2 linked regions of the Alligator mississippiensis genome follow. The protein of the gene in region 2 interacts with the protein of the main gene of each other region in a pairwise test. Links are inferred from orthologs where the notes say so. Each region holds a gene or a part of one and is shown on either strand. Other genes may lie near its edges.

Region 1 (3,749 bases), on a different chromosome or scaffold from region 2:
TAATAAAATCAGACACATGTGGTTTCCCACCCATCAGTGGCACGGTGAGTTAGAGCCAGGCCTGGGGGCTACAACTCCTGGATGTAGCCAGGTCCAAACTGTGTGCTCAGGTCAGCTTTTCCTCTGGGGAATGCAATGCCCATGATGCTCCAAGGTGTCCTCCACGACCACTGCACTGCATTAGCAATGCTCCCCCAGTGCAAACACTGCTTTGCCATAATATTGAGCTTGCACGCATGTTGGAGGGGCAGCATTGTCCAGTAGTGGGGCCAGGGTGAAGGCTTCTGGGTCGTTTCCCCGCTAGCCATTTTTTTGACAGGTGACCTTGGTGAAGTAATTTTCCACCTCGGCTTCCAGTTTGCCTATTAGGAAAATGAATAGCTTCCCTCTGCTCTGCATGAGTGCGGGGCTGGATCGATTACCTTGGCACAGCCCTCCGAAAGCCCTGGACAGGTGCCACTGCACAAAAGCAGTTTATGCCATGCGTGCAGCCCCATATGGCTGCATTCAAGCCCTGTCTGTGGGGGTGGGCAGAGGGCTCTTGGGCTGCCCCGCAAGCTGCTCGGGGCCTGGGCTGCCTGGGCAGGGGCAGCAGGAATCCTCTGAATAGCCATGCAGCAGTGGAGTTGTGGGCCCCCCACATAGCCTGTTGCCTGCAAAGCTGGGTCCTGTATCCAGGACCCTGTTCCTCCCAAGGCAAGTGAACCAGGACTGTGCAGCTTGCCATCTCCCAAGTAACCAAAGAACATCCTGCATCCTCTGCAATGTGTTGGTCTTTCCTGGTGTCCTACCCTCAAGAGCCATCTGCCCTGTGCTCCCCTCCATACCCAGAAGGCCCACCTGGGTGCTCACCTGGTGATACTGGAATGCCTTGGTGATGGCGTCCAGGCCCTGGATGTTGTCCTTGTCAATCCTGGTAATGTAGCAGGCTTGGGCCAGCCAGGATCTGTAGCTGATGATCAGCTGTTTGCAGACAGAGCACATGTTGGCTTCAGCCCTGGTTTCCTTCATGGCAGCACCTCATTTGTGCTTACCAGAGCTGCATGGCTGCTTCCAGTGGTGCAGCCCCTTCCACCTTTTGGCATGCACATTGCCCATCTGTGCCTTGTTTCCTGCCTGCCACACATAGCCTACAAGTCCCTTACCCCTTCCATAGGCCTGTCCTTACCCTAACTCTTGCCCTTTCATTTGGACCAAAGGTGCACCTCCCTGTCTCTCTGCTGATCACACAACACTGAGCAGTATTATCTTGCACTCTCTTCCCCTGACGAGCGGTTTCTCCACATCCATCTTGGACTCCTTTGCTCAGTACTTCCAAGAGGCCCGTGGAGAGACAGCACTTGACATCAGCTTAGTGCTGGCCCCAAGCCACAGAACCCAGAGATCCAGGGGCAAGGGCATATTTACATCTGGGGGCTGTGGACTGAGCCTGTTAATGAAACACCAGCACTGTCTCAGTTCGGTCTTCATTCAGCGTCAGCACCTTGACTTGTGAGATCAGGGCATAGCATGGGCCCCTGGGTTGCAACCCACCTCAGTCTGACCTACCAGCTCCCACCCAGGCCCAGCTGCTTACTTTGTTGTAGTCATACACGACCATGGCAGAAGAGTTGATGCCTTCCTTGACATAGAAAGTCCCTGCTCGTTCCTTCCTGCTCATGGAGAGCTGCTGTGGGGACTCCTCCCCATCCTGGCCCTGGATGGTCATTCGCAACACCTGGAAGCCAAGAAAATCCTCAGAGTCAGGTCTGACCAGAGCTGGGAGACAGGTGGTCTGAAGCAGGACAGGCAATGGTGCATCAGACGCTTGCTTCCATTGCTTGAGGAGGCACCCGCAGTGTCTCCCCCCATCAGTCCTGCCAGCCTCATGCAAGCGGAGACATTAGCAAACCAGGCCCTTAGGTTGGCACAGCATCCAGCGTCGGTTGTTGCTAAGATGTTTCTGGGTTTTTTGGTTTCTTTGCTGGCCTTGCTAATCAAGCCCCATTCCTCTAACATCCTGCCACAAACCCCATTTGCACTTGCCCACAGCTCCACCTACTCTCTTTGTATACCTGTGTACATGGCAGAGCAGCCCCTTTGGCCACCCCCGAGCACTAGCACAGTGATGCATATATTTTTGCATGTGGGTAATGCCCCACTTACCGTTTCTGTGTGCTTCTCAGTGATGTGCAAGCCCAGCAGGAGGAAGCCCACGACCACCACAACCAGGAGCACGAGCACCACCACAACAATCAGGAGACACTTGACCTGGTGGGGAATGCAGGGAAGCCGAGGGGAGGCTGTGTACCTCTGGGGGAGCACAAGAGGAGAGAAGGTTAGCACTAGACATAAGAGGAACCAGGGTATGATCGCAGGAGATGGCCCTGGGTCAGGGGTTGATTCATCGAGGGTAAGGGTGTGAGGATGCTCCTTACCGGAGGCGCCTCTACCAGAGCCTCCTTGCTGCTAATGTCCATCTTTCCCCTTGTCCTGTAGTCTTCAGTTTTTCCAGTGTCCTGCCAGCTTCTGAAGAGCCTGTGGGTGGCAAGAGGCTTATATAGCGGATGCTGAGGAGCTGGAGAAGAGAGCGGCGCTGGGACTCTCCAGGTTCTCTGGCTCCAGGTCAGGAGTTCTTGCAGGCTATGTTTGCTCGGGGCCCTTCAGAGCCGGCTCCCAGATAAGCCCCTGGGAACCTGTTGGCTGAGAGTCTCTGAGGGCTCTTGGCCCTGGGGGCACTTGTACACGTTACGATTGGCTCCATGCTCTTTGTTGCCCCAGAAGATGTACTTGCAAGGAATATGAGGGCCAAAGCAAACCCACTCTGAGAGCCTGGTGCTGCCCTTGGGGTTGGAGTATTCCAGCCTGTCAGTATGGCCTGGCTCGGCACCCCAGGTCTCCCAGACAGCTCGGGCACCTGCAGGTGCTTCAGCTATTCAAAGGAAAAGCTGAAAATTAAGGGCCTTCCAGGCTGTGCAGATCCAAGCTCAGGTTCCCACTGCTTGCTGACTGGCCTGGTCTGGGCACTTCCCAATGTGCCAGCTGTCCCGAAGTGACGTCTGACCTCACTGCTAGGTGCCAGCCAACCTGTAGCCCAGCTCGAGGCTGCTCAGACCTTCACCTGCCTGCATTGCCTCCGACCCCACCTGCAGCTGCCTGTGAACCTTGGGAAGGAACAAAGAGGGACTGTGGTCGTGGCACGCCGTCTGCAACCTGTAAGCTGCTCATCCTGCAGGTCCAGAGTGTGCACGGAGCAGAGGCTAGGTGTTCGAACCCAGGCAGCACTTTTCAGTCTTTGTGATGGCTTTGCAGACTCTGGGTGCGTGCCAGCCCCTTCAGTGGCCTGGGGTATTCTCCTTGCTCAGTACAGGATGTTCTGTGCCCAGTCTTCCTGCTTCCTTGCAAAGTGCCCACCCTGGAGAAATCTGGATAGAGCAGAGCCCCATGCCAAACAAATGAAACTGCCTGGATCAACTGGACTTCACTGTTTCAGTGAAGCCCTGAGGGGGATTCTAGCTGGCAGCTCCCTCTACCCATCTCCCCTCTCCACCCGGGATCTAAGGGAAGACCCCCCAGGCTGGTATGCGGCTACTCCCCCCTTGCTCTGCCTTTGTTAAGCCCTGTGGTTCTTGTTTATTTGCTGCCAGCATCTCAGCCTCACTGCCCAGCTGCAGCGGGTAAGAATGCCCTCTATAGAGCCATCACTCATTGTTGGCTGGGAGAGAGCGGTGCCTGGGACGGCAGCTGAGACCCAGTTTTTGACTCATAAA
Region 2 (3,749 bases):
CTCCCTGCTGGCACAGCCTAGCCTGGTTCCATAGAGCCCCCACCAGCCCAGGCCCCACGCTCCTGCAGGCTTACTTTGGGCCCCTGATGGCCCTGGCCCTGGGGCACCAGCACTGGCCCTGCACTCCCATTCAGCTATTGCTGCGCTCATGCCCGTCCACCCATCTGCACATTGGGGTGTGTATTTTAAGCAGGGAAGATACTTCCTTCACTGGAAAAGCAGCAAGCCTGGAGCATGCCATGCAGCTGCCAAGATGGCAGAGTCCTTGTTAACTCTCCCAGAGCCACAGCCACTGGCTGAACACAGAAAACACAGAACCCGGTGCCTGAAGCAGCAACTGAGCTGGTGGCAGTATCTTGATGGGGGCTTGTAATGTGGAAACAACACTTTATTTTCAGGAACTTATATAAAGAACTACTTACTGTAAAGAACTAACAGTCTTGCTACTGCCCTTGCAAGGGTCTGGAGTCTAACCTTGTGTGACACTGAGCAAGTCCTGCTGGAAACATAGCAACTAGAAAGCCTGGCATCCCAGAAGAGAGTCTGGGTAAGGCAGCTGGCACCAAAAACTTCCTGGTGCCACATTTCCTGGATGCTACAATCCCAAGAGAACTTACTTAATGTCATAGAATTAGCCATGAGTATGGAAAAATCCTTTTTGTATGTTCTGCCTTTAAAAAACAAGGTATGCGCCTTATTTTGGAGAAGCAGGGTGTATGTGAGATAAGACAGTATTCTTAAATTGATTAATCACCTCTATACTGTAATTCTTAACTTGCTACAGCAGATACCACTAGGAAGCATTGCAAGGATAATGAGAGAAGAACCTTACTTTATGTTATACTGCCCCGTTTTCAGCGTACATCTGTCGGGAAGCTGAGCAAGTTTCCTTGAGAGCGCTTTAAAATATTTCCTACATTCCTGCACACCTGCACTCTGTTCACAATCTGTAGAGGCAGAGAGTGGGAGTCCATCCCTCACACGGACCACGGAGGCAGATAAGATCATAGACATCGCCAGCTGATTTAATAGAAACCTAAGAACAAAAACACACTCAAACTTATAAACACACTGGTTAAAATAAAAGCAATTTTTTCCAAAAAGGATCTGCAGCCAGATTAAACATCAGTCTATGATTAGAAGCAGTAACTGTGGCTTCAGGCTGCTGTAAATCTGGCTCAACCTTACCACACAGCACTGGGCAAGTCAGCACAGGACTGAAGCTTGAACACTAATTCACATAAAACATCCTACTGCATAGGCCCAACCATTTCCAAAGACACACACAGGATGCACAATCAGACTTCTGACTTATCTTAATAATATTATTTCGATCTTAACAGCTTGCAGAAGCTCCAAATGCAATTGCAGACCATTCTTTTATTTATCGTTTTGTATTACTGTAGCACTTAGAGGTACCAAGTGAAATCAAGGTTTTAGACATAACCACGCAAGGACATAATACAGCCTCACTAATCAAGAAGTCCTTGCCCTGAAGAACTTACACTATGAACAGAGGCAGCAGCAAAAAGAAGTTTTATTATCCACTTTTCAGAGAGGATGGTTACGCTGCCTCTCAGGACTTGCTGGTGGGCAGCCGCCTTACCTCCGTTTTGAATGGCAGTAGGTCCAGAGGAGGCTCAGTAAACCTCACCATGGCATTCCCCAGCTGGGCATGCAGGCAGCGTACATGTGCCCTGAAATCTGGGCCCTGCCTAGGTTAAATGTCAATATGTGCCTAACTTTAAACATATGCAGAGTTCCACTGAATTCAATACAGATTTTTAAAGCCAGGCAAAGGCTAAAAAGCCTCTGCTAAATGGAGAGCCACTTAACCTAATGAAGATCAAATAGAAAACTGGTGCACAGCCAAGAATACAACCCAGGGTCTCAAGTTGTAGTTAGTATCTTAAACACAGGACCTTTCCTCTCTACCTGGGCCTTAGGTTTTGGTATCTGTGAGATGAGTAGCAATATTAATCTAGCTTACACAATTGCCGAGTTGTTTACAATAAACTGTTTGTAAAAACACAAGAAAACCATACATGAGCTGTTATAAAGGACAAAAAAAGATACTAAATCTAATCTCAGAGATGAGGATAGCAATGAATAAAATAAGCCTGAACAAAAATTAGGCGGGCAAGGTTCTTTGGAGAGATGTGGTATCTTTTATTAGACCAACTGAGTAGTTGGAACAAGGTTCTTTGCAAGCTTCCAGGCACACGTACCCATCTTCAGGCATAGAGAGACTTCTGTTGTTCAAAAATTATTCTTTTTCAAACTATATAATACTGCTCTCAACTTTCTCTAGCAATTATATATGCTGTAGTGTGCTTGGCCTGCATGTATAAAACAAAAGCTTATTAAAATATTCATGACACCAAAGGAGAAAATTCACAGCAGACATTTTAAAACACACTCCCATGCAATCTTTATAAAAAATGACAAGATATATTTTTTAAATCTTCAAGCTGTTAAAAATGTAGCAAGACAAGTAGCATGTAGTACTCTAAAAGCAAAACTACTTGTTTGCTTAGAAACAAGGTAGAAACTTCTGTGAAAAGGAGGTAAAATTACTAGAATTTAATATAAATGAAAAAGCAGCATGCTTCCTTCCTCCTGTAATTCCAAACACCACAATATAAACTGCCCACCACACATACTATACATATTACCAGATAAAACGTCAAGAACAAAGAAATGTCTACCTCTGCCAGACTGTGCTGATGTAACCTAAGCAGGTCAAAGACAGAAAAAGAAAACCGATTTCTCAATACATCTGAAATACATATTCATAGTGTAAAATAACAGCAGCACATAAGGAAATGGCCACTTGTACATTTGGAGCCGTTTCAAGAGGGTAGCAACAGTTTCCCCTTTTGAAATGGCTCCAAATGTACGTGTCCTGGCTCTAGGTCAGAGCTGTCCAACTTCTAAGCACCCAGGGGCCATGTGTCCTGGGGACCTACACTTCCTATTACACCTTGTGATCCCCCCCCTCCTGCTGCAATGGTCACGTGCACTGGTACAATGCCCCCACACCCCAAGGCACAGCCCCAGACTCACCCTTAGCTCCTCATGCTGCACGTCATCCCATCCCCTGAAGTGCCAGAAGCTGAAGGAGGGATGGGGAACCTGGAGACTTCAACTGCTATTGCAGCCAGAGTGATGGGAAGAGCAGTGGCTGGGGACAGCCCAAGGGTCACACGGCAGTTGGACAACCCTGCCCTAGTTAACACCCTTTGGGCCAAGATTTTAGAAGTTCTTTACAACCTTTATGGAGCATTTCTAATTCGAAAGCAACTCTGAAAATGACCCTCACCTGCTCATACGTTCTCAAAACTGAACAACAAAAAAAAGATTATGTACAAAGTTAATTTTATTAAACGAGACTCATCCTAAGTGATTCACTTCATAAGCACAAAGACAGGTATAGTGTCCACAGTGAACATCTGTTTCTATTTTTAGTGTTGGAAGAGAAGGAAGGAATTTGATATTGTATTTCTTTAGTTCAGGGACTGGCAACCTAGGGGCCACAGAGCCCGTGGACATGGGACTTCAGCTGTAGGCCCTCTCCTGATGCCAATGCAGAGATAAGCTACAGGTACAGACGGATTCCTAGCACCCGTCCCCTCCGACTTAGGGTGGATTATTCCAGCCTACAGCTGAACAGGTTCCCACCCCTGCTGTAGTGATATTTCAGTCCCTTCTTATATACTCGACTCAACCTTTATACTGGGGAATCCATC

The links. The genes of interacting proteins can lie anywhere in the genome.
Region 1: the proteins of SEC22A (region 2) and pulmonary surfactant-associated protein C interact in binary tests that used the Homo sapiens proteins (3 or more experiments, as listed by UniProt). The two-hybrid records come from large-scale screens. The link is inferred for Alligator mississippiensis from reciprocal best matches to the Homo sapiens genes SEC22A and SFTPC.

Annotation. Positions count from the first base shown.
Region 1 is NC_081830.1:21,487,006-21,490,754, reverse strand, and holds the start of pulmonary surfactant-associated protein C, read right to left. Parts: upstream 2,460-3,749; coding exon 2,418-2,459; intron 2,293-2,417; coding exon 2,146-2,292; intron 1,718-2,145; coding exon 1,577-1,717; intron 964-1,576; coding exon 853-963; intron 1-852. UniProt on the Homo sapiens protein: Pulmonary surfactant associated proteins promote alveolar stability by lowering the surface tension at the air-liquid interface in the peripheral air spaces.
Region 2 is NC_081827.1:246,128,864-246,132,612, forward strand, and holds the start of SEC22A (vesicle-trafficking protein SEC22a), read right to left. Parts: upstream 2,571-3,749; 5' UTR 2,243-2,570; coding exon 2,229-2,242; intron 1,037-2,228; coding exon 833-1,036; intron 1-832. UniProt on the Homo sapiens protein: May be involved in vesicle transport between the ER and the Golgi complex.